6 linked regions of the Oryza sativa Japonica Group genome follow. The main gene of each other region encodes a partner of the protein of the gene in region 5 in a complex. Links are inferred from orthologs where the notes say so. Each region holds a gene or a part of one and is shown on either strand. Other genes may lie near its edges. The genes, in order: transcription initiation factor TFIID subunit 11, transcription initiation factor TFIID subunit 10, transcription initiation factor TFIID subunit 8, transcription initiation factor TFIID subunit 15b, transcription initiation factor TFIID subunit 6 and transcription initiation factor TFIID subunit 13.

What was found.
Region 1: transcription initiation factor TFIID subunit 6 (region 5) and transcription initiation factor TFIID subunit 11 share a complex: the UniProt entries of both Arabidopsis thaliana proteins name them as parts of the TFIID complex. The link is inferred for Oryza sativa Japonica Group from reciprocal best matches to the Arabidopsis thaliana genes TAFII59 and TAF11.
Region 2: transcription initiation factor TFIID subunit 6 (region 5) and transcription initiation factor TFIID subunit 10 share a complex: the UniProt entries of both Arabidopsis thaliana proteins name them as parts of the TFIID complex. The link is inferred for Oryza sativa Japonica Group from reciprocal best matches to the Arabidopsis thaliana genes TAFII59 and TAFII15.
Region 3: transcription initiation factor TFIID subunit 6 (region 5) and transcription initiation factor TFIID subunit 8 share a complex: the UniProt entries of both Arabidopsis thaliana proteins name them as parts of the TFIID complex. The link is inferred for Oryza sativa Japonica Group from reciprocal best matches to the Arabidopsis thaliana genes TAFII59 and TAF8.
Region 4: transcription initiation factor TFIID subunit 6 (region 5) and transcription initiation factor TFIID subunit 15b share a complex: the UniProt entries of both Arabidopsis thaliana proteins name them as parts of the TFIID complex. The link is inferred for Oryza sativa Japonica Group from reciprocal best matches to the Arabidopsis thaliana genes TAFII59 and TAF15b.
Region 6: transcription initiation factor TFIID subunit 6 (region 5) and transcription initiation factor TFIID subunit 13 share a complex: the UniProt entries of both Arabidopsis thaliana proteins name them as parts of the TFIID complex. The link is inferred for Oryza sativa Japonica Group from reciprocal best matches to the Arabidopsis thaliana genes TAFII59 and TAF13.

Annotation. Positions count from the first base shown.
Region 1 is NC_089035.1:28,595,405-28,600,074, reverse strand, and holds transcription initiation factor TFIID subunit 11, read right to left. Parts: upstream 2,989-4,670; 5' UTR 2,948-2,988; coding exon 2,628-2,947; intron 2,000-2,627; coding exon 1,912-1,999; intron 967-1,911; coding exon 867-966; intron 626-866; coding exon 498-625; 3' UTR 160-497; downstream 1-159. UniProt on the Arabidopsis thaliana protein: TAFs are components of the transcription factor IID (TFIID) complex that is essential for mediating regulation of RNA polymerase transcription.
Region 2 is NC_089043.1:20,160,621-20,165,455, forward strand, and holds the start of transcription initiation factor TFIID subunit 10, read right to left. Parts: upstream 2,981-4,835; 5' UTR 2,830-2,980; coding exon 2,650-2,829; intron 2,554-2,649; coding exon 2,489-2,553; intron 2,148-2,488; coding exon 2,085-2,147; intron 1,502-2,084; coding exon 1,444-1,501; intron 1,357-1,443; coding exon 1,306-1,356; intron 1-1,305. UniProt on the Arabidopsis thaliana protein: TAFs are components of the transcription factor IID (TFIID) complex that is essential for mediating regulation of RNA polymerase transcription.
Region 3 is NC_089037.1:23,460,319-23,465,003, forward strand, and holds the start of transcription initiation factor TFIID subunit 8, read right to left. Parts: upstream 3,004-4,685; 5' UTR 2,705-3,003; coding exon 1,499-2,704; 3' UTR 1,391-1,498; intron 1-1,390. UniProt on the Arabidopsis thaliana protein: TAFs are components of the transcription factor IID (TFIID) complex that is essential for mediating regulation of RNA polymerase transcription.
Region 4 is NC_089035.1:3,329,977-3,334,632, reverse strand, and holds the start of transcription initiation factor TFIID subunit 15b, read right to left. Parts: upstream 3,195-4,656; 5' UTR 3,137-3,194; coding exon 3,085-3,136; intron 3,007-3,084; coding exon 2,736-3,006; intron 2,088-2,735; coding exon 1,220-2,087; intron 465-1,219; coding exon 314-464; intron 229-313; coding exon 150-228; intron 1-149. UniProt on the Arabidopsis thaliana protein: TAFs are components of the transcription factor IID (TFIID) complex that is essential for mediating regulation of RNA polymerase transcription.
Region 5 is NC_089035.1:18,531,846-18,536,373, forward strand, and holds the start of transcription initiation factor TFIID subunit 6, read right to left. Parts: upstream 2,912-4,528; 5' UTR 2,609-2,911; coding exon 2,483-2,608; intron 1,333-2,482; coding exon 1,246-1,332; intron 1-1,245. UniProt on the Arabidopsis thaliana protein: TAFs are components of the transcription factor IID (TFIID) complex that is essential for mediating regulation of RNA polymerase transcription. Required for proper pollen function. May stabilize the interaction of TFIID with selected promoters.
Region 6 is NC_089035.1:13,333,357-13,338,035, reverse strand, and holds the start of transcription initiation factor TFIID subunit 13, read right to left. Parts: upstream 3,082-4,679; 5' UTR 3,039-3,081; intron 2,952-3,038; 5' UTR 2,778-2,951; coding exon 2,573-2,777; intron 2,488-2,572; coding exon 2,450-2,487; intron 2,198-2,449; coding exon 2,138-2,197; intron 243-2,137; coding exon 168-242; intron 82-167; coding exon 1-81. UniProt on the Arabidopsis thaliana protein: TAFs are components of the transcription factor IID (TFIID) complex that is essential for mediating regulation of RNA polymerase transcription. May be involved in polycomb repressive complex 2 (PRC2) mediated repression.

The sequences.
Region 1 (4,670 bases), about 10 Mb from region 5:
CAATGCCGGCGTAAATGCTCCCGCCGAAGCTGCAGCCTGCAGGACATAAGATCCTGCATAGCATCCGATCTTGAAATAGCAGAAAGACACTTCGTTTAAAAAATCGATTAGTTACAACGGCAAGAGTTCTACGTATAAAAATAGCAGAAAGACACATCGTTTGGGTTAAAACGAGGGTCGCATTTAATTGCAGACAAGCATATAATCAGATTCAGCGCATACTCCAAACAGCATAGTACACAGTTCAACTATTCATAAGCCTGAAAATTCACAGCCTACGGCCAATACTTTATACATAGAATTTTCCACGGCTAGTAGTACCGTAGTACTTCAGCTTGTACGTACTGTTTGCTCTGGTTCCCTTGCTGCGACAGAAATCACAGTAACAATTTCACAAAGCTGAAGAAATACATCTCATGTCATTCTCTCTTTCCGCGCATCTGACCGCAGAAAGGACCATCTCAGTGTCGACTGGGATCAACAGAGATGCTTCAATTCTAACGGAAGAGCCTGGGAACAGTCCGCCGTGGGATCTTCCCTTCAAGTTTCAATCTTCTGTAGGCTTCTCTGATGTGGCAAGGCCTTACTGGTCCAGAATCTTTCCTCTCAGTCATAACTATTCTAGCTGCAACAGACACAATCGAATTGTCAAAAATAAAGTGAATAAAGCCATCCCTCCTTTTTCTTCTGATGTCAGAGAACAAGTTTATGGAAAGCAGAAAAGGACATTTGAACACGGACGATTACAAAAGATCAGTCATAAGAGTGATTTGCTTTAAGAGATGAGCATACATCAAAATCATAGGTGCTTTGGTGGTAGTGTTCTATGAGCAACAAAGTAAATAAGATAATTACTCTAGACTTGCCTGTTTCAACAAGCTCACCAACAAACATCTTTGCAATTCCTGATACTACAATTGTTGTTGGTAGAGAAATCTTTTGACTGCCAGTAATGCTCGCCAATAGCTGCATGGAAACAGAATATCAAATCAACTTTAAAAAAACATGGGTGTAGCTATATTTATGGCGTCATATTTTTCATCAAAAAATAGTCGGCATGTATTTACATTGTAAGTCCCTAAATTACATATGTAATTTTAGTGTATTTACAATGTAAGTCTCAAAATTACATATGTAAGTAATAAAATTACATATGTAAATTCGAAATTACATACTAATTACATATGTAAATGGGGTGTAAATGAGGTGTAACTACTGTGTAAGTGGTTAAAAAAAATCGACTGTAGCATATGGCGCCATATTTCTAGCAACTCCGAAAAACATTCCAATAACGCAGTGATCTCATATTTCAACCACTGATGAGGAAATACATTAAAGCACTTGTCCCTCTGACTAGAACGTAATTTCAAAGCATTGTTAACTTCAGGCATTCAACAGCCAAAAGTAACATTTTTACCGAGAAAAAGGTCAAACTTTGGATTGACACTACAAAAAGGCTTTCTTAGCCTGCCTATAAATTGAAGAAAAGAATATTGACCAAGTTTGGTTTTTTATTTAGAGAGTGTACATCACTTACAATCAGTAGAAACGATGACATAGGCAAAAATGTATTTATCTACAACTTGGAGCGAAATCAACTGTCCTGTACATGAAGCTCTATCAACAATTTGGACAAGACATGCATGGTACATTGTACAACTCATGGTATGCATCCACAAAAGAAACATGAACCAAAATAGAACAGGTGTTATTCAACAGAAAATAAGGTAACTGTAAGACTTAAGAAAGCAGAAAATGTTAATGTGATCCACATTTTGTGGAAAGCTTTTATTGCAAAGGGGAACACTGAAGCCAATTCAGATGGAGGCGCCACACGCATCACACGCACATGATATTGCAGTTTATACTTGTACGATATTAAATCAATGGATGTTGGGAATGAGATCATACCTTTTTCATGTTAGATTTCTGGAATCCAGATCTGCGGAATGACTCATACCGGTTCATCTGGTCTTCTGTAAATTGAGACAGTATGGCACTGGAAAAGGAGTACATAGTTTTTCAAACATAGAATTCTTATTTAGATGGGTTTAATATTTCACTATATATATTGGAACATAAATCTGAGAAGTGCATAATGTCAGGATGTTCTGTAAATAAAATCACAAACAATTGAGAACAATCCCCTTTTCCAATTCAGAAATCTCCACTAGTACAAATCTTACTGTCACAAATTAACCAAAGTTGAACGGTGAAGGACACCAAAATACACTGAACTTGATCAAGAACATATTCTCAATAGACAGTCATATGGTTCCTAACTTTAACTGATCTTTATGCCAGTAAACGCTTCACATATAGCTGGAAACTGGGACTACAGTCTTTATGAAGTGAATAATGTCAGGTTGTTCTGTAACTACAATCACGAACAATCCTTACTCCAATTCAGAAATTTCCACTAGTACAAATCTTACTGTCACAAATTAACCAAAGTTAAAAGGGTGAAGGACGCTAAAACACTGAACTCGATCAAAGAACGTATATACTCAACAGACGGTCATATGGTTCCTGAATTTAGTTGATCCTTATGCAGTTAACCCTTCATATATAGCACGCACCAGAAGAAGGCAAAACTAGGTTTAGGATGAGCGCAGCCAAGCACCTACTTCATCTTGGCGAGCTTGTCGGGGTCGCTGGTGCCGGAGGGCAGCTTGTCGAGGTCGACCTCCATGTGGTCCTCCTCGTCATCCTCCTCCTCCTGCTGCTCCTTCTGGACCCGCACCACCTTACCCCTCGCCGCGGCCGCGGCGGCACCACCGGAGCCCGATGGCGCGGCCCTCGAAGGAGGCAGCCGCAGCGGAGGCCCGCGCGACCCGCTGGCGCCGTCGTATCCCTCGGGCGCCCCGGCCGCGTCCTCCTCGTTCGCCGCCGGCGACTCCGGCGGCGACTCCTGCTCCTCCACCGCCGCCTCGAACGGGTCCTTCATGGCCGCGGCTGGAGACGAATCGCAAGAGTCCAGAGTCTTCTGAAAATTTTTGGGCCGGGGTTGACCTACCTGCTCGCCGCCGCCGGGCTTGGTGGGCTGCTTCGCGCGTGGGCCTTTTTCTCGGGCCGGATTTCTGGGCCGATTTCTCCGTGGCGGCCGCGAGAATTTTCACCGGTGAATCAAATCGCTCGTGCCGAACGCGCCACCGCTGAGCAGCTCACGCCTCACGGCGCGTGCAGCAGCGGCGGAAACAAATTCTCTAACTGACATATGAATTTTGCAGTTCGTGAACCTACATATTAACGACGTACTCCCTCCGTCTTATAAAAGACCAACTTAGTACTAGATATAACACATCCTAATACCATAAATTTGAACACACTATACTAGAATATATCACATATAATCCTAGATTCCTTTTTTACGTCAGAGAACAACATCAGAGGAGCATTCTTTCAGCAACGGCAGATGTTACACGCTTATACACAGTTGAAACCGTGATGTGGCCTACCTCCGATGCGGACCTTACAATGGCCGGGCGCAAAGTAAAGAAAAAAGGAACAAAAAAAAACAGGATTACTACTACTACCATCATCAGAACAGCAACAAAAAAGTTTCATCTTTTCGTTCGAGACGTATCACATCGTGCAACAGGTTTTCGGGACCAGAAAACTCCCAAGCCGTGGGCACTGACCCACCGAGAGACCCATCCTGAGAACGATGCATCAAACGTGTGCAATAAAAAGCTTAAGCAGCTACAAAAACAACAACCCCGATCGATCACGCTGGGATTTGGGCATTCAGGAGGAGGATAGGATTTGCTTTGCCCCCCTCTCACAGCTTTTGCATTACCTCCGTATCGCGCCTTGTTTAGTGGAGGCCGTTTTGTTTATTGCCGCTAATCCTAACGCATAGGATTCTCGCTCGCTCACCATTGACCTCCTCTTTGCCCAAGCAAAGCCTCGCCATTAGATTACTTACCCAGATCACACAACAATATTCTTCGCTAGTTCTTGCAGCTCTCTCTCCCCTGAATAAAATTGACGGCACAAAGGTGCTTTCTGGCGCCGATCACTTTGCTCCACGAATATAAAAAACAACATACTATATGCACACACATATATACTATCATACTCCGTATGATACATCATACATGTGAATATAAAACGACGAGAGCCACATATATCGTCGTGTTTTTTTTTCCGCTTTGCTGGTGATGAGAGTGAATATTCGACCGGCTGTTCGTCTGAGGCTCGTCTGACCAAACTCCCGCTATCATTGCCGATTATTATTCCTCGCTTCGGTTGCGCTGATCGCTTTCAGCAACAGGGGGGGAGGGGGGGGGGGTGCGACAAACAAAAAGAGATGCCCAGCTCGTGTATATCTCTCGAAGACTCCCAAAGCTGTGTGTGTGTATATATATATATATATATATATATATATATATATATATATATATATATGGGGCACCATGGTGCCCGGGCACCATGGTATCTAATGCACAAAATCACTCAAAATTTTCAAAATTTTTAAATTGTGAGTATATACCTAGTTATAATAATTTGATTCATACCTATACTTATCAACAAAACAACTCAAATTTAACTTTATTTCATAATCCATGATTACATACCTAACTAATTATATGTATGGATGCTATATACCTAGAATCAAAATATAACAAAAACAAGTTCAAATTCAGTTCAAACTTGCTTTAAACTAG
Region 2 (4,835 bases), on a different chromosome or scaffold from region 5:
CACATTTGTGATCTATATTGGCATTTGACACGGGAGTAAAAAGTGCCAGTTTCTCAAAATGCATCAAACATAAATGCCTAATTAGGATAATTAGGAGTTACAATACTAAACGCTGGACAATGGTAATCTAATTCTATCAAATGACGTGATGATCTACTGATAGCTGCCAGCATGTTAGAAAACAAAAATAAATCTCAAATTGGTAGTATGTGGAACAAACATATTTCATGAAAGCACAAAGCTTCTATAATGATAGCTCATCTGTAGAGCATTACAGTCCAGAGTTATGTGATATTGTGACATGTCAAGGATGCCCTTTTGTGTGAGGTTTCGTGTGTAGAAGGTAGATTGATTCTGAACCATGGAATTGTAAACATAAGTGTACTGACCATGATGTGATTATAGCTGAATCAGTCATTTGCCAAGAATATTGCTGGGAAGGGAAAGCATAGAAGATCATTTGTCAAATAGACCTGTATATGAGCAGCTCATCCCTGTATATGAGCAGCTCATCCCAGGTCTGCTTAAATGCTTATTTCATGTACTATAATGTATGTGTTCTGGGGAGTGGATTCTAATCCCTCGAGGGGATGTCCCCTCGTATATATTTTTCTTTCAAAATCAATGCAAATATAGTTGTTAAAAATTCTGAAAAATATTGACAATGTAGAGTACAATTATATCTAATAGTCCACCAAAAATAAAGTTCAAATTCGACCTACACATCGAGAACCCAAAAAGACAAATTCAGATATTAACAGTGCGGTACTATTTATACGCTGAATTTGTCTTTTTTTATATCTCGATGTGTGAGTTGAATTTGGACTTAAGATTTTGTGAAGTTGTATAGATATGTTGTATAAGTGTTGTCAAATTTTTCTAGAATTTTTCATAACCGTTTAGATGATTTTTAAGCGGCACATCCCCTCAAGGGATCAAAATAGTTTCCCATTTGTTCTTCTGGTAAAATATTCCAATACAAGTAGGCTGTGACTGATTGTTGAGTTGATTAGTCTATCTGAATTGTGATTAATCGTGAGCATCGTGAAGCATATACAACTGATCAATTTGGCTACTTGTTTCATTAAAAAAAACATTAACAAGTAATCCCATTGGTCTAAAAAAGGTTAACTAAATCCATTCTACAGTAGATTTATTAATGCAGAGATTCAAGTCCTAATAAAACTAATAATTGCAATTATACGTCAAACTGAATAAACTGTGACTTCAATCACGTAAAGTACAGTGGTAACTGGTGAGCTGCAGTAAAAGGGAAAGCTTAAATTCAACAGGAAAATGGTTTACCTCTTGCAAGGCCTTGGAAAGATCATCCATTGTTAACACAAGACGCCTATCCTGAAGAACAGAATGACTGAACCAGTAAATAAAAGTACTGATTTCATGCTAGTAGTACCATGGTACACCAACTGCAATTAAACCCACCTTAGGTTGCTTGCTCTTGTTATCTTTGATAGGTGCTGCTACCCTGGCTTTGCAGTGCCTAGTTCAGGACAATAATCATGTGATGAACAAATTAGTGTGCATGATACCTTTTAACTGTCACAAGTTATGATACAAGCAACACCATAAGAAGCTTGACTTTACACATAAAGTTTCAGTCAGTACTGAAATTAGATTCCCTACCACATCAATGTTATGCATATTTCGCAATCTATTGTCTTAACAATATAGACATAAGATACCATGTTTGATGTTTCATTCCATGGTCATAATGTGAGAAGGATGATAGAAACAAAAAAAAGGAAGCACAAAGAAGATGCAAGTTGACAGTATGAAGAAAACAAGCCTAAAATCAACATGGTTATCTCAAAAAGCTGCCAGCATAGGAGAAATGAGGCTACTCAACATCTCAAGAATGAAGCATATTGCATACACCTCCATTTATGAATGATGCAAGAAACCTCATGGTTCATGACCATCATCAGAAATCATATTTCTCATTCACTATCTGAAGGTAACGAAAATTCGACTCCAAGAATCGATAACCACTAAAAAGGAACAAAATAATCGCACATACGTTTAAGTTGGAAAACAAAACGAATGAGGCAGTAAAAGTTACATACTGAAGAGAGTCGCTTGCAATGTCCGAAATGAACTTTTGGGTGGCTACAGCAACCAGCCTCGTTCTGCAGAGAACACAAAAATTATGGTTCATAAGGCCATGCTGTCACACATGACGACCAACAATCACCAAGCTGAAAGGGATACAGCGATTTTCTCCCTCGACTAGAATGGCAACACGCTGCATTACAATGCAATCCTAACAGCCTCAATCAGATCTAACTGTCACCATGTTGTACGTACTAAGAATCAGGCAAAATTCAGTCCAAATCTCTTCAGTGATTTCCGGGCACTGGACGAATTTCAGTTTAATAACTACCAATTGGCCCATCCTGGAAGGCACGGTGCAGTCTTCCTGAAAGAGAGAAGAGATTGAACTATTGGAGAGATAGATGGGGGTGCTTACAGGCGGAGGTCGGGGCAGTAGAAGCCGCTGCGGCCAAGGTAGTGCTCCACCAGCTCGTCGGGAATCTGCCGCACCACCACCACCACCACCACCACCACCGCATCAGACACGAAACCCAAGAGAGGGGGAAGCTAGGGCAAGATGGGCGGCAGGCGCCGTACCGTAGGGGTGTAGTCCATGAGGGAGGAGAGGAACTCGGTGAGGACCGCCTCGTCGTCGTGCCGCCCGTCTCCGCCGCCGCCGCCGCCGGCGGCGGCTGCCCCCATGGGCCCTCCTCCCCCCATGCCCCCCGGAACCATGGCGCCACCGCCGCCTCCGCCTGCGCTGTTGCTCCCCATCATCCTCTGGTCCCCCGCCTTCGCCGGAGGAGCTAGTGGGGTTTGAGATCTGGCACGTCGGCGGGGAAGTTCGCCGCCGATGGACCAGGAAGAGCGGCGGGAGTCGTCGTCGTCGCCGGAGGCTCGAGAAGGAGGGGGGAAGAGGGAGGGGAGTGGTGGGCTGTACTCCGGCCCTTTTGGTAATAAGCGTAGGATGGGCGGAGTTCAGGCCCGTTTGGAAAAAAAAGGGATAAGTCTATTTTACACCTATGAAGTCTTCGTTTTTGTCTAAAACTAGAAAAAAAAAGTCTATGCATTGGAACGGGTAAATGCTATTTTAATTTTATTGTTGTTATACGGTTTAGCTACGGTAAAATTCACTGTGAAAATTTGATTGGATATTTTTTCAGAAAATCATGAGCTGCAATTAGGAGACCGTATTTAATTTGAAGTTAGCATGTGAGTTTTTTTAAAAGATTTCTTATACGACTTACTTCCAATAGGAAATAAGCTTAAAATCTAACTCAAACACGGTTCTGTATTTTCAAAAGTGAACGAACTTAAAAACCGACTCAAATATGGATGACAAACCAAAATTCTAGCAAAAACATCTTCAGTTTTTATAATAGTAGAGATACACCCAATACTCTAAAGCCGGATATTTCACACCCTCTAACTTTTAATACCATTCACTTTATACCCCCTGAGCGGTTTACACCACGTCAGCAGGTCCTACAGTCTTCTTTCACCTTCCCCTCTCTTTCGACTCCCTCCCTCTATGAGCTTGAGGCAGCCATGACGAGATGGACGGAGCTGCGAGCTAGATGCGAGCATAGAGAAGAAAGGGGTCGGCGGAGAGCTTCGTGCCGAGCCCACCCCCTTGGTCGTGCTCGGAAGAAAAGGAAGGTTGGCAGCAAGCTCGATGTGGAGCTTGCCCCTTGGCTGAGGTCAGAGAAGAGGGGGGTTGGCGGCGAGCTTGGAGAAGAGGAACTGCTGAGCACGGAGAAGACGGGATCACCAGCAAGTTCCAAGGAGGGTTGATGGGCAGTAATCGGCCCCTCCTACCCAAGCTTCGATGTCATCATAAGCTCTGAGATCCGCTGCCACTCGTCCTATCCAAGTGTTGCTGTCATCGTAGACCCAGAGCTCTCCCCCCCCCAACACCCACTTGCCGAGGTCAGAGAAGACAAGTGCCAGCAGCACAACCTCGATCCCACGATAAGCTCAATGAAGGAGCCGATGCCGCTGGGCCTGCTACACAAGCTCAGGGAAGTCGTCGGCACTCGCCTCATTGAGCTCAGGGAGGTTGCCTCGCTACTCTACTTGTTAAGCTCGGGAACTCATCAACGGCCTTCTACCCTCGTCATTCATCTCGAAGAGGAGAAGGAGAGGAAAGAGGAAGAAGAAGAGTAAGAGGAAAGAGGGGAGGTGGCCTACGGGTCCCACCTTTTTATGTTCTTTTATAGCTAAGTTTCCATGTAGGCACCACATAAGAAAATTTGCGTTGGTTTCCACTAAGGGGCTAAAATTAGACGGTTTGAAAAGTTAGAGGGTGTCAAATACTCAGTTTTAGAGTTTGGGGGTTTATTTTAGACAAAGCGAAGAGTTCGGAGTTGTCAAATGGACTTATCCCATTTGAAAATCATCCAAATAATATAATACAAAGAGAAGTTGCAACAAGGAAACATAACCGTTATATGCTATCAAGAAAAGGTCAATTATATGATTTATTGTCAAGTAGCAAGATTTTCTTTACAATTTCACTTAAGTCAAAGAAACACCACTATTTATGTTTGCCATCAGCTACTAAGTTACATTCACTGATGTCTAGTAGAAAGCGTCATTTTACTCATGCAATGTAGCATACCATCACTGAACTAAGATTCACGGGATAATGCATATTGCATACCAACTCTTACTCCTCAATGGTGACTAGGGCGGATGATCTAGCACGGTCAGGGAATACGTTAAGACGATATGATCTCACCTCTAATGTTTGTCCTTGTGATGGATACCTTAAGCACCTTGTT
Region 3 (4,685 bases), on a different chromosome or scaffold from region 5:
TATTTTCTCTATAGTTTTAAAGAACATTGAAGGGTTTTGGTGCACACAAACACCTACATAATTGCTTGGCTTGGTAGTGCAAAATGTAACATTGTTTGAAGCTAATTTCTTTCTTCTTTTGCATGTTCGATTGTTTTCTTTGAAACAATATTTGTTTGAAATAAGACCATAATTATATAGATTTAAGTAGTATGTATAGTTTACTTATAAATTTTGAAGTTTTTTAAGTAAAGTTTATTTCTATTATATAATACGGTTAACAATATAGTTTTGTCATGTAAATTATAATCAATAAGTTCGCTATAATTTATATCACAAAAATTAATGAAACTTTGTAAAACCAACCATGACTACTTAACAAAAGAAATGGACAAATATTTTCATTAATAAAATAATCTAAAATAATGGGTACATAATATAATATAATGGTGTAAACTTTATTTTCAAGTATTGTAGAGCTAATTCATTTATGTATACTTGTAAAAGAGTTATATGCTGATATATTATTCTATGTTTGTAAAGTAACTTTTATTTAAAATTTATTATCACTAATAATAGTAATAATAATTGTCTCAACTATATACATTGAAAAGAAAAAAAGTTACGTACTAACGTACGTACATATATATACCATGGAAGGAGAGGTGGAACAGTATAGTCACTTTTCGTGTTTGGATTTATTTAAAGATCCACTGATTTAAGTGAAAATCAAGGGATAGATGTTTTGCTTTTTTTTTCTCAGATTTTCTACGATTTTCTTTACTTCCTCCGTTTCACAATGTAAGACTTTCTAGCATTGCCCACATTCATATAGATGTTAATAAATCTATACACATATGTGGCTAGATTCATTAACATCTATATGAATATGAGTAATGCTAGAAAGTCTTACATTGTGAAACGGAGGAAGTAGTTTATTAGAGCACCATATGGCGGCTTGAGAGCGTTTTGAGGAAGTTTAATGACCTTTTAGTATATAATAGATAGATAGATTGCATGTGCGTATCAGCAATCCTTCTAATTTAGGATATTAGTGCGGTGGTGGTAGCCTACAAGGAATCCAGTTAATCAGAACTAGCAGTGGAAGGTAGATTCGCAATTTTTGAACTGTATACAGTGGATGCTATTTTTCTAACCAAAGCTTTAAGGAAAAGCATAACAGAATGTGACTACCACATATATTCAACACATAAACCATCCATGTAGCATTCTCTGTTATCTCGTGATGTGATAACTTTGTACTTTTAAATACAAAATGTGCATATTACAAAAAAAAGGATATTCTTGTGTAGTTATGTGGTTTTCAGTTATACACTCAAATTAATAGAGATGCACGTAATGGCTATGAAGTAAATCTGCCAGGAACAGTTAAGTGAAAAAACAAACAAACCTCAAGATCTTGGCAAATGCTGCTCCAACATGAATTTGAAAAGTCCCTAGTTTAGCCAGTCCAAAATTCACCATGCAGCTCTGTGGGTACTGCAAACATACAGGAACGTTAAAGCTGAGTAAGTTCATGTGGATTATCCATTGCTTCCCTTAGTATCAACTCTGCCCTCTGCTCCTTATCCTCCTTGAAGAACCAGGGATCCTTCAGTTCAACCAGAGCTCTCGAATTCAGTGCCATCACCATTGACTTCTTATCAATCCCAATTCTAAAATACACCGGTGGCCTCTCTTTTGGAACAACCCTCTTCTGAGTCTGACTATCATTTTGGCCCTGATCCATACCCTCATCAAATTCTCCACCTTTTGATTCTTCAAATGCGGGTGCGAAGGCCTCAACAACAGAGAATGTCTTCCCCACACCAGGCATGGTAACCTCGGACACCGCCTTCTCCCCATAAGGCAAAGCTCGCTCATGAAACGGATTCGCCTTGCTCTCAACCACATCTAGTCCGTTCGCTTTGACTGCATCATCGACCAGCATTCCTGGTCGGAACCCGTCGGCACCTGCAAGAGCAAGACGCCGTTGCAGGCTGAGCAGCGACTTCTCAGCTTTCCTCCGCTGCCGCGCCCGCTCCACCTCATCCGCCCCAGCCTTAGCCACCTCCTCACTCCACAACTCGCTCCTCACATACGTGTGAGGTTCCGGAAAGGCCGGGAGCCATTCCGGGACATGGCTCATCCCGCTCTCCCTACCCAAGACCGCAAAGCTCGTCGTCGAGTGCAGCGGCACACGCTGTACCGGAAACCTCGGCAATGGCCGGCCCGCGAACGGGGATTCCTTGGACGCGCCAACAAACACGGCCATATCCTTGACGACGGCGGAGTTGGCGAGGCAACGGGCAGAAACCGAGGCGGCCCCCGCGAAGCCATAGTAGGCCGCGCCGCACTCCTCGAGGAACTGTATGACGTCGCACTCGTTTGCGGCGGCGCGGCCGGCGAGGTTGGCGTGGAACGTGGCGGCACGGCCGAGCTGGCAGATGTACCGCAGGAGGACGTCGACGAGCGCGTCCACCGCCGAGCGGTGCGCGCAGACGAAGCCAGCCGCCTCCAGCATCCGCGCCACCGCCGCCCTCGCCACCGCCCTCCCGAAGTCCCCTCCTCCACCCGCTGCTGCCGCCGCTGCTCCTCCCCCTCCTCCTCCTCCTCCTCCTCCTGCTCCTCCGCCACCACCGCCGCCTACCCTGCCGGCCCGGCCACCACCCCCGCCGCCTCTGCTGCTCATGCTCGCCTTCGCGCTCGGCCGCGCCCCAATCATACCGGCGGCACCTCTATCCCACCGCCGCGAACCCAGGCCGCGCCGCCATCGAGGGGGGGAGTGGCAGCGCCAAAATTGCGGGGGAATTCGAGCACCGGTGGTCGAAATCGGGATGGAAATCTAGGGTTTAGGGGTTGACCGTTGGGGAATCGGGCACGCGGAGGCGGCGGAGCTCGGAATTCGGAGAGAAATCCAAACCCCAAGCTGGCGAAATGGGGAGAGGGAGACGACTTGAGTTGACTACACTAGCGAGAGAGCGAGGAGGACACAAGCAGCAGCGGAGAGAGAGAGAGAGGCGTGTCGGCTGAATGCGGAATGCCTCAACACAGGAAGATTTCGGCCATCTTCCGACGGCGGGGAATGAACGGCCAGGATTTTCCATTCTCGATTCAGGAGCTTTGTCACTCGATGGGTGGATTATCGGGTGCTTCTATGGTCTATACAAAACAAAGTCAACATGGAAGGCATCCACAATGGTTATTTATAGGCTCTCTACAAGAGATCCATGTCAGCATATTTTTCTACTTGGAAGGTATTAAATGAAGAGAGAGAGCAAAGCTATCTACTAACTTATAGATAGTCTATAGAGAAAAACGAGGCAATGCATGAGAGAGCTATAGATACCAATGTAGACATACTATTGAAGTGGTTTACTATTAATCGAGTCTATTGCTGAGATGTACATGTTTTATAGAGAGCACCTTAGAGCACCCGAACCATTCGTCTATTGCTGAGATGTACATGTTTTATAGAGAGCACCTTAGAGCACCTGAACCATTGCGGATGGTTCGGGTGCTCTAAGGTGCTCTCTATAAAACATGTACATCTCAGCAATAGACTCGATTAATAGTAAACCACCTCAATAGTATGTCTACATTGGTATCTATAGCTCTCTCATGCATTGCCTCGTTTTTCTCTATAGACTATCTATAAGTTAGTAGATAGCTTTGCTCTCTCTCTTCATTTAATACCTTCCAAGTAGGAAAATATGCTGACATAGATCTCTTGTAGAGAGCCTATAGATAACCATTGTGGGTGCCCTAAGGGCAGCCCCAACCCTCCATCTAGGATGGTGTCTATAGCATTAACTACATTGCCATGTAGGACTTTTAGCTTATATGGCACTATATTAATTCAGAGAGTAAGTGAAGAGAGGAAGAAACTGGGTCTCATGCAAGACACAGCCTCAACACGAGAACCTATGCACTAGACACTATCAAATTTTGTATTGGGAGAGAATAGTATCTTCATAATAGATGAAGAATAAATATGATTGGTAGAGAAGAGAGATGATGTATTTATTAGTGGCCTAGTTTAAGAAACCATGGGTTGTAGAGTGTAGTTTCTATTGTGATGTCTTATTGACATGATATCATAGACACTGCTTATGGACACTATGGGTTGGGACTGCCCTAATAGGGTAGGCGGACACTCAAAGGTTAAATTGGTTTTATTTAGAGAAGAGTAAAGTGTGTTGGCGGTCCTTAAACTTGTAGGGTTGTGTCGTATATGTCTCTAAACTCTCAAAATGGATATCCAGGTCTCAGAACTTGTCAAAGTGTATCATCTTGGCCCCAAATTGATACATCCCCTCTAGGATCCTACGTGGCGCTGATGTGGCAATGCCACATGGACGTGACGTGTCCTTTTCTTTTTTTTCTTTTTTTCCTTTTCTTTTCCGTTTTCTTCTCATTCTTCTTTTTTTTCCTTTCTTCAGAGAAAGGAGAAGAAATGGGAAAAAGGAGAAGAAAAAAGGAAAAAAGGAAAAAAATTAAATGGGTCCTATTTGTCAGTCAAAATAATGTCACGTCATGTCCGTGTGGCATGCCACATCAGCGCTACGTAAGATCCTGTAGGGGTTGTGGCGATTTGGGACCTAGATGACACACTATGACAAGTTCTAGGATTTGGATATGTATTTTGAGAGTTTAGGGACCTAAATGACACACCCTTACAAGTTTAAGGACCGCCAGTACACTTT
Region 4 (4,656 bases), about 15 Mb from region 5:
ACTTTGAAGAATAGATTCAAACATCTAGGCTATCAAATTGCAACTAAAAGGGGCATGCTTTGCCCATAATAGAAGCTGTCTTGCTTGGACATAGGCACACAGCATTCCACAATCTGCATTTAGCATCTACAGAACTGAAAAGTACTTACCCATGACCATATGCAGGAGCTCTAGGAGCTGATTTCTCAGCCATCGCAACACTAATTTTATAGCCTCTCATTTCATAATCTGGAATATCAATAGAAAACATGCATTAAAAATTGCAGAACACTGTATTTATACACACATAATATAATCTCGATGCTGAACTTACTGTTATAGAATCCACCAGCTGAATGAGCAGCAGAAGGATCTTCATAGGCAAGGCAGGCATCTCCTTTATTCTTTCCAGAGTCATCAGTATAGATCTTTATGTTCCAGGGCCACTGGTCTTTGTAGCCACGTTTCTGCTTGATCCTTCCAACCTTAAGAAAAAAGCAGTTGCAAAAACTCAAAACACAGCCATGAAACACAAGCAGTTACCACCCCCAAAACTAAAGAAATTAATTTCTTGCAATAAATTTAGCTAGGAACACTAAGTAATCTGTAAAACCAACTTTACTTTATTATCAAAGATTTTACATTAACATCATGGGGTGATATGCCACGAATTATTTGGCATAAAATACCAATATGGGAGTAAAGCAAAATTACTACAAAATCATTGAATGGCTTGGTTATAACTAAAATTACAGTACTACTACTTCTACAAAAAAAAAGAGCATCATTACTGCAAGATGATTATGTTACATCAAAACAAATATCCAAATTTAATTATGCACATTGAAACACAAGGGTGTACTTCTCCACTAGCAAGGAAAAAAACAATATGTAATAAGCTCGCTCTAACTGCGCTGTATACAACAGATGGAGCAGATTTTGTGCAAAACTATGACTTGCAATGTGCTAGCAGTAGTGAAAGCAAAAGGGGAAAAAAATGTTAACAAGCCCAACTACAGATTATAAACATCATCTGAATACTGATTTGTAAATTTACTTAAATTCCAACAAGTAATATCAGTAACACTGGAAAAAGATATTATGGCGAAACACATAAAATGAAAAACATGAGGTTAGAAAAAAGACATAAAATGCACAAAATATTTCAGTGAGCGAATCGTGAAATGCACAGTTCATAAACACTAAATATGTGGGAGCTCAAGAGGAGGTCAAAGTATACCTGGCCGATTCCTCCAAATAGTTCTTGCAGTTCCTCAACAGTCACATCAGGAGGTAAGTTGGAGATGTAAATTCTTGCATTATCACAAGTCTCATCACAGTTTGCATCACACTGCTTAACCTTTGCAGCTGGCTCTGGAGCAGCACTGCCAGTGTATCCGCCGCCACCGCCGCCGCCACCACCACCACCACCACCACCATGATAGGGTGGAGGTGCACCAGGGCCTCCACCCCCAGGCATAGGCCGACCACCATACCCACCATCATATGAAGGAGGTAGGCTACCTTGGCCACCTGGAGCACCACCGCTATATGGCGGGTTCGGAGGTGGTGCACCATAACTTGGTGGATATGAACCTGGACCACCACCATAGCTACTAGGAGGTGGCACTGCAGAATCTGAATTGTATGCATTATTGCCTCCATAGGAGCTTGGAGGTGCTGCATAGTCACCACCAGGCCCACCATAGGAAGGAGGACCTTGAGGAGGAACTTGTCCATAGCTACCAGCGTCATAACCACTTTCGTCTCCCCTTTGGTTGTTCCCTTGGTCTCTTCCCCCATAACCACCCCTGCCACCACGGTGGTCATCAAATCCACGATCATCGCCACCACCTCTATTGTAACCTCCTCCTCTTCCTCCCCCTCCAGTGCCACCACCACGGCCACCAGAGTTGTAATCTCCTCCACCTCTGTTGTAGCCACCGCCACCTCCAGAACTAAAATCGCCACCACCACGATTGTAGCCTCCACCCCCTCCACCAGATTTATTATACCCTCCACCTCCACCTCCACCTCCACCTCCAGCAGGAGAAGGTGCTCCACACTTGTTGCATTCAGTCCTCCTTGCAAAGTTCACATTGCCACAACTGGAACAAGAATGATAAACAAATATATTAGGAATATTGGAAGAGAACCAATGAAATTGCAACCGAATATTCTGCAAAATATAACCAACTCAGCAAGACAACTAATGCCATATTGAAAGAAACATATTCATAAAAGAAAGTATTTACTGTATTTTGTAGTGCTTATTTACTGTATTTTGTAATGCTTCCAATAACACCATGAACTCATTTCAAAAACATATATGAAATTTCTTCTCTGCCACTCTGCTATACCAAGGAAAATAGAACATAGGGGAGGGGAAGAAATCATGGGAGACAAGTATAACATAATATTTATGTATCTAGAGGTTCAACATAAATTTAGCACTTGTGACCTAAGATTATAGGGAGCTCTCATAGAGAATGAATTATGCAGTTAACTATTTGTTGGCAGTTCTGATGCTCACAATACTACGATGAAACAAAAATTTAGTAGGACACTTCACACATGCCCCATGCAAAATCCTAAACCAAATTATCAAATAACCCAATAATTTATAATTTAACAACCTAAAAACCCTAGATTTCATGGCCAAGTAGCATAATTTACAAGACAATCGGGACAACCACGATTTCATCAGTCACAGTCGAATCAAACGAGACAACGTCAAATGAGTAAACGAAACAAACCTCGGGTCTGGGCAAACCCAGTCACCGTCACGTCCTCCACCCCTCCCGCCGCCACCTCGGCCACCGCCACCCCCACCCCCACCTCTCCCGCCGCCGCCACCGCCGCCGTAGCCTCCTCCTCCACCGCCACCTCTACCACCGCCGCCGTACCCTCCGCCACCGCCGCCATATCCTCCGCCACCACCACCATATCCACCTCCCACACCACCACCACCATATCCTCCCCCTCCTCCTCCGCCACCTCCCCTCCCACGGCCGCCTCCGCCGCCACCTACAAAAAAAACCACAAGCCAGTCAGGAGCAGATCCAGAAGCAAGCACGCACACAACCCGCAGGATCCCGACGCGACCTCGGCCGCCGTAGCCGCCGCGGTAGTCGTCGGATCCGTACGACCCCGACATGGTCACGCGCCTAGGGTTTGGGAGCGTTCCGGAAGGGCAAGTGCGAACAGAGTATTCCGAATTTCTGATACGTGTGTGGATTAGGGCAGAAGTAAGCAGTCGAAAGAGATGGATTTGGGCCGGAATTAAACGGGAGTCGAATTCTCTCGCTGCGTGTGGGCCTGGATTGCTGGGGTGTACATGTAATGGGCTGTATATTGGGGATCACTCAAGGCCCATTGGGAATTTTCTTTGGTGGGTGTTTGGCCCAGCCCATTAATAATATTCACTAGCCTTTTGTGGACAAATGAAAGTGTCAAAATTTATTACTACCTCCATCCCAAATTAGATATCGTTTTGACTTTTTGCTTGCAATATTCGACCATTCGTCTTATTTAAAAAATAATGCAAACCTAAAAAGGATAAGTCATACTTAAGGTATTTTGATAATAAAACAAGTCACAAACAAAATAAATAATAATAACATAATCTTTTAAATAAGACGAATGGTCAAACATTACAAATAAAAAACTCAAAACGACGAATATTCTAGAATGGAGGTAGTATATTTTTGAGCGGAGGGAATAGTTAAGAGTACTGATGTTAAACCTGTGTCTTATATATCTGTTTGTTATTGTTTTTTCCTAGTTAGAGCAGGGCTAACCTTACCATCAGGGGTTGAGTTACCGCACCCAATCGTAAGCACGGTAATCACACGGTAAACCATGAAAAACTAGACGATGCTATTAGAAGTTCATATTATTATGTAAATTTATTTGAATTTGACGGGATAAGTTACTATTAGTGTATCCAAAGGTAAGTCCGGTTACCGCGGAAACCGCACAATAACAAGCGATATTGTCGATTTATGACCTGTTTGGAATGTGAAGTGAGAATTGTCTTCTACTCTTCCATAAATCAAATCTTTAGGACAGCACATATAAGTGATATACAAAAATGATTAGGCTCTTCAGACATGTAAACTTAATCGGATAATTTCTCCCTCAAGATGAAAAACAAGAACTAGAGCACATATTGCTCTTGATGGGATGGAGATGCTACGTTTTGTGAATTTTTGGGTAAGCTCGATTAGTCAGACTTCCTTTCCATCCAGTAACTTTCGCCTTAAACTCTCCTACTCCTATGTAGAAACAATCAGAAAATTCTCTTACTCCAGTGCTCTCTGTTTATCTTTCAGTCGGTTTCAGACAAAACATGGACGCACATCATGCTCCTACATGAACTGCACATTTTACAGATAAAATAAGATGTCAGTTCGTTTTCAGATTATAAAACAAGTTGTCGCTCTGCCGGCAAAATTGATTATTTTGCGCGGCATTGCGTTGGGGAACATCTCTCTGCCTACACGGAGAACCAGATATTGCAGTTGAAGTCTTGAGGACACACGCGGGCAGCACGTTCTCTGACAAATCTGCATATCATCCTTCTGAACATTCGTTATCTATGTCAGACTGACCAATCGCCAAACAGATTACAAGCATGCGATTTCTTCTCTTAAAAATGCCCATGGTGACCAATCA
Region 5 (4,528 bases):
AGATTATGATCCAATACAATGCTATTATTTTTAGCTTGTGTCTTAGACACTGAAGGCAATCATGTCCCACCTAAACTCCACTACAGTAACATTTTAACCAAAATAACGAAAATATGTAGCAAAAGTAACATCAAAGAAACCAACCTAGCACGCTAAACCAACCCAGTGATAATATTGAGAGTGCCAAAAAGGACATTATGTTACTCAAAAAAGGAGGAAACGCCTATATATGGAGTCATACAAAACATATAAACACATTGGCAATGTTTAATATATACTTCTCAGTTCTTAATCTGAAATTAAAAGAAAAACAGTTTCACATTTTCCCAGTTCTAACATTGAGCGTGGCAAAGGGGCATTATGTTACTTGTAAGCAAAGTAGGAAACTTTTACATACGAAGTCATATACAACAGCATATAAACACATTGGCAATGTTTAATACATAGTTCTCAGTCCTTGATTTGAAACAAAAAACATAATCATCAAATTCTAACATAAAGTGCATTTAGCTTAGCACACCCCATTTGACATGAATACATATCTCATATTTTATTTTGTATTTTCACATGGATTATTTCCCCCATCTTACCCAGCGTACACTATTGGGCTTCATCCTACTTATTCAGCTTTCTCTCATTCAGTTCCACGCAAAGTAAAATCAGCATCCTACTGGACTGCAGTAACCTCACAACTAGTGGGTGTCAGAGAAATAGGGGGCTGAATGGAAGGATATGGTTTCTCCCCTATGCTCAGTTCAGCTGTTCCCTTGAGGAATTACATGTCAAGCTTTAAAGACATTATTTGTTTTCTCGAACACACAGGAGAGCTGTGTTCTCAAATGGAACAGAAGGATTGTATATTTGTATTAAAGAAGAAGAGAGGGGAAGAAACCACCGAATACACCCAGACACCAAAAGCCTCTACCAATTGCAGTATCAGTTTTCAAACAAGAGATGATTGCAATGGCATTTATATGTCAGGGAACAGACATACCAAAAACAGATACAGGCATAGAGTTTGCCTTATTTATGGCTAACATGTCTCCATGAAAAGATCGTCAACTCTAAGTTTCTTAAACATTTATACTTTTAGCTTAATAATGAGCTGATTCCGAGAAATACTGAGCTCGACTATTTAGCTATCCAACTCAGAAGTTTGATGCATTCAAGCATACAACAGTTACTAGATCTACAAAACCTTTATTTAGTAGTCCTAAAAAATATTGTCAACGAAATAGAAACTACCTCAACATTCCTGAGGCTGAGAGCACTATCAACATCATCGGCAGTCAGGACTGTCCTCTTTGCATGCCGCATACACTTGATGGCCTCCTGTCACAATCCACAGCATAATAAAATACATATAGTGCCTAGGAGAAAATGGAATGGCATTTCTGTGACTGAATATTTATATGCTTACATACAAATTTTGCAGATCAACATATACTTCCAGAAAATTATCGCAAAACAACAGATGTAACACCAAATTTATAACTTAAGCAACGAGATTATAGATCTACAGATAAAGCACGGACTTTATGAGAAAACTACAATTTATGAAAAGTTCATCACGATAGATGAAACCTGTAAAATTTGTAGTTTCATGATAAAATCGGTGCTAAATCGATAATTGTGTGATATGGCTCAAATATGTATTTTTCTGGTAATGCAGTGTTAAATTTGTATTTTTTGTGACAACTCTGTAGTTTGTCAATGATAGTTTTCCAAAATTTATGAGTAAAGATCAGATAGGAATAACATATTTCCAAGATTCAGTAAAGAAAACCTCAAATGATGAATTTATCGTGTAAATAGTGGATAGAACGCAAATTCTTAGACTCACTACCTCACTAAATATATACAAATTAAAAAAAATGGTGATAAAACAGGAACAAAACCCCAACATATGTTACCAGTAAGCTATAGCATGCAATCGAATGAGAGAAGATTGAACAGTCCAGAAACTCTGTAATGGTGTGCTTCAATGCTTTTGAAGAGACAATAGTGAACAAAAAAAACAACCATCTTCCGTCCAATATATTGCATTGCTATGAAGACCGTCCAATATATTGCATTGCTATGAAGACCGTCCAATATATTGCATTGCTACAAAAACCCAGTGAACATATATTGAGCAGGACACAGTTAAGCAGTCAGTGTGAACCAGCATGTTCAAACAACAAGATGGAAACGCATCTCGTCCAGCAAACTCAAAACCCATTGGAATAGGTCTATCGCAAATATTCCACCACACAACTTAGCACAATGGTTGAGCATAGCAATCAATTGAGAGAACGAAGAACAAAGAGCAAGCAATTGCTCCCTGCGGTCCCAAATCACCCAGAAACTACAAATCCACGCCTCGGGGGGGCAGGCAATTTTCCTACGAAGGGAATGGTGGAAGTTGCCTCCTAGTCCCCCAAAGTGCACGAAACTAAAACCGAAGGGAAGCGAGAGATTCGGGAGCGCGGGGGGGACGGACCTGCATGATCTCGCGGAGGCGGTACTCCACGTCGGGGGCGAGCGCGGCGGAGACATCGGCGGGGAGGTTGGCGATGCCGACGCTCTGCCCGATCACCTCAATCGTCTCTTTGGGCACTATGCTCATCCCTCCCCCGCTCTTTCTCCCCCCCCCCCCCCCCCCCCTCTTCTCCCTTCGCCTCCCCTCGCTCCTCGCTCGCCAAATTACCCAAACCCTAGCTCTCTGGCCGTACTGCTCCCTTCTAGCCTCCGCCTATCCGCCACTGCTGCAGTGCCCTCTTCGCTGGTTCGCTAGCATCTAAGCGCTCGCCGCTGCCTCCTCGCCAGCGTTTCTCGCCGCCGCCGCCGCCGCTGGCATGCACGCCGGAGCCGACGAGAAGAGGATTTGACCGAGTGTGGCTGGGAAACGTTTGTGAATCAAGAATTTCTCGTAAAATAGAAAACTACTTCGTAGGATATATTCCTAGCTTAGGGAGCAATTGGTTATATACTTCTCTCTAGGGTGTTTACTTGCGAAATTCTTATCTGCCGCACACGCGTCAGTATGGTCGCGCATCAGCCCACCAGCCCACGTGCTGTTTTCACATTTTCCCGTGATTTTCGGCCCACCAGCCTACTTGTTGTTTCCTTTTTTCGCCATGATTTTCGGCCCACAAATCCACGTGCTATGTTTCCTTATTTTCGACTCCACTCGTTTCCTTATCGTTTTTTTATTTTTCGAAACATTCAACTTAAATTTTGAAACGTTCAACTCAAAATTGATTCAAATTTGAAAACTTTCGAATCAAGTTTCGAAAATTTTTAACTCCAATTTCAAAACTTTTAACTCAAAAATCAAAACTTTGACTCAAATTTTGAAAACTTTCAATTCAAATTTCAAAAACTTTCAACTCACAATTAAAAATTTTCATCGCAAAAATGTAAAACTTTTAACTCAAAATTCTAAATTTTCATTTCTAACTGAAAACTTAATGAAAACTTCCATATCAAAATTTAAAAAAAATTAACTCAAATTTAAAATTATTTATGTATTTTGAAAAATGCTAATTATGATAATTAACAGTAATTACTGTAATTATCACTAATGACTATAATTAGCGGCGGGCGTCTTGCACTAATCGCGCGCAGGGTGTGGGAGAGGGGGGCGTTGCCCGAGTTAAGCAGTCGGCGTGTGCGCGGCCATTAGAGCAAGGTCAATAGTGCAGCTAGTAGTAGGCTCTAAAATTTTATCATGTCTCAAGTAGAGCTAACTTAAAAAGCATCTCATACAACAAGCTAACTACAAGTTAGCTATAAACTACCTTGGTTCAAACGAATTAACAAGCAGTAGAACCCACAAACAAATTTTTTTATTGTATCTCCTGGCCGATACAGCGTGGAGCGCTGTACAAGCGCCGGCGCCAGAACAAGCGACGGCTTCTTTCTCAATCACTGATTTTCTTTCCTTAATCTCGTTTTAGACTGATTAACAAGTTTTGGAGCGTTCCTAATAGCACTATTGTACCCGCTCTTAGAAACCAAGTTTTCTTGCTAAAACGAAAAAGGTTACTATATTTGATCACTTAGAGCACCCGCAATGTTAATGTAAAGTGCTATCTATAAAACATGTACATCTCAGCAATAGACTAAATTAATAGTAAATCACTTCAATGGTATGTCTACATGGATATCTATAGCTCTCTAATCTATTGTCTCGTTTTTCTCTATAGACTATCTCCAGATTAGTAGATAGCTATACTCTCTCTCTCTTCATTTAATCTCTTCCAAGTAGGAAAATATGCTGACATGGATCTCTTGTAGAGAGCCTATAGATAACCATTGCGGGTGCCCTTATTACAATGTGTCGGGGCTAGAGAGAGAAACTAGAGAGAGAGGAGCAGAGCAGAGGCTACTACTACCTTCTTCCAGCGAGGCGAGGAGGAGACCTGTGTCGGATCGGATGGTATAACGGTATGGAGGAGGCGCCGGGGACGTGTATAACTCAAAGGTAGCATGAGTCTTACATGCTTGCAGACATAGAGCCATGGGTTCCAAAAGATGATTTGGA
Region 6 (4,679 bases), about 5.2 Mb from region 5:
CACATCAAAAGCTTTTCTTGCCTGCTTGAGCTCTTCATTCATGGAGAGTAGCTCAGTGGCACGGTGCAGTTTCCGCACATCCTAGAAAGAAAGTACAGAGATAAATTTTAATATGACCTAATCAACTGTATTGCAAGCAACTTCACATGTGGAGTTCAGAAATGTACCTTGCGAATGAGGTAAAGAAAATCTTCTGTCAAGAGCTTGCCCCTCTTTGATGCAACGTTCTGGGCCTTGTGGACCTAAGAAAGTGCACATTATACAGTCAACAGTTACGGAATCATAAATAAACATTACATACACATATGGTTTTATCCACATGCAGGTATTTAAAATCAAATAAAAAATTACAGTTAACTAAATTCTTGTGTTTGGTGTGTATTTCTGCTGTTACAGAGTGCATACTAGATTGTAGTCATGTAAAAATTTTGTCCAACAACCTGGGGCAAAGTAAGTCTGCAGGGTAAACAGACCTAATAAATTCATATCGTCGCGTATTCAGATCACGCATGGACAAATTATCTACAAAAATATATTCAGACAAGTGGGGCATGTTTAGATATCTTCACCCCATGTCACAGGTACATTTCATTTACACTATGCACGATTACAAACTCAAGGTTCCATATCATGCAGGAAAGTAGACTATATAGAGACTTTAAAGAAAATGCCTTTCTTAATATAGTTTACAGATAATTTAAGCAGGGAAGAACTGCCAAAAGATGGCAAAGCTCTATGAATCATTAACAAAAAGGGCTCCACAAGAGATGCAAATCCTGGTGATAACTATAACCGTTGCTGAACAGGTATGGAGTGTACCAGCCAGAACAATTTAAATTGGAGTGAATTGCACCTTGGGCTAGGAATATTTACCCAACTTTCTATTTGAACCATATGCTCTAGCCAATGTTTTTACTTTGGATTATGTATGTTTGCCTCTATGTTGCAATTTGGGCTTATATAACTGTCTGTAGAACTCTTTCTCCACCCGCAGTTCTACCAATGCCATCACAATCGCTACACTCTGCCTATGCACAGTAATCCACCAGCTCCAGCTTTTGCTCAGCCTCGAGCTCCACTAGTGTTAGCCCCTGATTTGAGCTCAAGATGCTCCACCATAGCGCTGAGACGGTGTTCCGGCCAGTGGGTGCAAGAGCAGGGGATGGTCAGGTGATTAGCATGGAGAGGTCTGGAAGGTTTGTCACTGTATGAAGCTCTTCAACTTATCTGGTGGTTTATGATTGAGAAGGGAACTGAGGATGGAAAAAGTTAATTAAGGCTTTTATTTGTGGTGGACTAGCTGAGAAAGGCTTGGCAAGATGCTCCACCATAGCGGCCTGCACAAATGAGCTGCCGCAACGAGAGCACATGATGGCGCACAAGGAGAGGAGACGAGAGGACTGACGAGGAAGATGACTATATGGAGGCTGACGTGTGGGACTAATGGTCCAAAGTGCAAAATTTGATACCATAAGCTGGTTCAAAGTGAAAACCTTTGATAATACCTAATCCAATGTGCAACTTAGGAAATAAAATCTAGTCCAAAGTACAGTTCACACTTAAATTAAAGTTCAGATTTGAGACCATAAGAATAAAGTATAACTTTATATTTTCTTGAAATTTCATGTACAGGTACACTAGTTTACTTTCATATGCCGGATCTGAATTATTACATATTAGCATGCAAAAAGTTCGAATCCAATATTTTTATCACAAAACTGGTTTACTGCCGGTAACTAGCTGGTAACTGGTTTTTTGATTCAAAATTTTGGAATCGAACTTTTGTCCAGTAGAGACCTGGCAACTTATTTTCCAGAGGGAGTAGTTCTTTTTTCCCGAAACCAGTGTTCAAACTTCAAGCCCTTGGGCTCTACACAAATATGAACTATAGGTTAAAGTGAAGCCCCTATTAATTCTCAAAACATAAAAGGCTTCATGTTTCCCGACAAACAGAAGCACTGAACCTAATCACTCTTTCCAGAAAACTACCTAATCACTCTTTCCAGAACACTAGAATTGAATTAAATAAGGCAACAAATAAGGATGTCGAAATCCAAATAAACTCCTTTCATCCATACAACCTTCATAAATGTAATTTCAGTAGAAAACAAGAAAGACAAATACAATGAAAGCTTACCAGGTCAGTGACATATTCTACAACAATGTCCTCCACAAGTGCAACAGTTTCTGGAAGCGGCTGCAAAACCAACAGAAAGATGTCATTTACATACAAGATTTTAACTTAAAAGGTAGAACAGCATGTCCATTCTTTCTTAGGCAATCATGTAGTTGTGTTGTAAATCCATGGCCTACTTGCAATTATTGTCGTTGTCGGTGTTAATTACCTCCAATGTTCCACAACACAAAGTACACAAATTGCATCCTATCCCCAAACAATTCCTAGCCTGAAAATTAAGAGATGAAAGGCATAGATCGAGGTCGGGCTTACATTTGGATCATCCCCAAATCCGTACATCATGTGCTGCACTGCAAGAACGGGGAAAAATGCAGCATAAACAACGAATTCGAAGAACAGCAGCAGTACTAAAGTTTAGAAAAAACAGTGCCGTACGGTCTTTCTGGAAGACGCCGCGCTTGCGCTTGAGGGTGGTGGCGGACGCGTCGGCGCCGCCGCCGCCGCCGCCGCCGCCGCCGGAGTGGTGGTGGTGGTGGTGGTGGGAGCTCCCCTGGCCCGACGCCGACGCGGCGGCAGCGGTCGAGGACTTGGACTTGGCCGCCGAGGCCGGGCTAGCGTGGTGGCCGCCAGGGTTCTGCATCCCGGCGGAAGAGCGAAGGACGCGAGGGGTGAGGGAGGGAGACGGACGCCGCCCGCCCCCTCTTCCCGACGGCCGGCGGCGCTCCCCTCCCCTTCCCTTCGCTCCTCGCCGCCGCTTGGATTTAGGGCTTTCGCGTGCACTATGCACAGCCGTGATGGATTTCTGAGGGGCGAACTGGAAGGAAACGAGTGGAGTCAGCCTCACACTAGCGGCGGAGCGTAAGGCCGGGAAGGGGGAGAGGCAATCGCGGCGGAAGCGTACCGGCGGCGAAGGGAAGGAAGCAGCTGGTGAGCGTACCGGCGGCGATTCGAGAATTTTCCGGTCCTTGCGGCTTGTATGGTATGATTTGGAGTTTACACGAGGGAATTGCGGATGAGATTAAGATGAGAATTTAATTTTTAATCCTAATATCTTGTTTGGTAGAGATGATAAAAATTGATAAGGAGTTTAGTTAGAGATTAGGTCATTAATAAAAATGGATGGCTGAGATTTGCTTAGACAAAGTAAAGGAGGAATTCCCTCCCAATTACCTGCCGTATTGAAAAGGAGGGATCTACATCCCACCAAAATTCTTATGTCTCCCAACCAAACAAAACACTTAATAGCCTCATCCCTCTAAACTCCCAATCCCTCCTGAAAACTCTCTCCAACCAAACGGGCCATTTGAGAAATTTTGCAACACACCATATTGTCCAGTTTTGCATTACCGTTTTCGAGTGAAGACCGGTTTGTATCGGTTTGGTAAAAAAAACAATAAGAATAGCAATTTTTAATCAATTTCATACGAAAATTGCTACTCACTCCGTTCCAAAATATAACAACCTGTACTAGATGAGACATATCTTAGTACAATGAATCTGGACAGAGGTACAAGGTTGCTATATTTGAGGGAGTAAAACCACTTAGTTTTCGTAAACCAGTCCCCACGGCATTTTTACGAGAACTGGGTGATTTTCAGTCAGTGATTGCAACATTAGACTTGAGATACAGGAGAGCATAGATAAAGAAGACATGAGCCACTTAAAGATAAAGGAGAAATAACACTTTCAAAAATATTAGAGCACTTAAAAAAGGATAATGAGTTAGTACTTAGAAATGTGAAGAAAATGGTTCATATAGGGAAAGGACGAGGAACAGGCAAATTATTGTACCTATGGCTAGATCTGATAATAGAGAGTAGAGCGTCAACAACTCGACAATAATGATAACCAAATAGCTAAACGTTTCCAATAGAAAGTTAGAAGTCAATGTTGGAGCACTTGCCACCGCCGCTAAAGAGATGGCTAAATCTAAGTGCCATTAAAATTAGATCATGGCGATGTGCTTAAGGACCGATGACGATGAATGAACAAGGATTTGCAATGGGACCTACAACTAGATTAGTGGTTGTGGTGGTAATGTGCACAAGGAGAAAGAGTGGCAAACCTCTGGTCTTAAATGACATGACAACTTGCAACTTGATATCTTAACTCTTTCAATACTCCAAAGTAATATTCTTGGAAGATATGGACCTAATGAGAAACGGGTGGAGATATGAATTCATCTTTTTTCAATGGCAACTTCATTTTTAGAATGTTCCTCAATGCCCTTTTTTTTTAATTCCTAAAACTTGTTGCCTACCTCCCACTTTGTTTTTTTTTTTGTTATCTTTGGTACTAAGGAATTGACTTTATGCCACCGAGTTTAGTACTCCATCCGTCTCAAAATATAACAACTTCTAACATTCAAAATTTATCCCAGAATATAACAACTTCTTCACCTACAATCTCTTCTCAACCAATCACAATCTTCCACCATTCAAATTCTCCACCAACTTTCTCTTGTCAACCAATCACAACTTTCTTTCGTTTAATTCTACATACCTTCTTAATATCTGTGTCCAAACCTAAAACTCTCTGTATT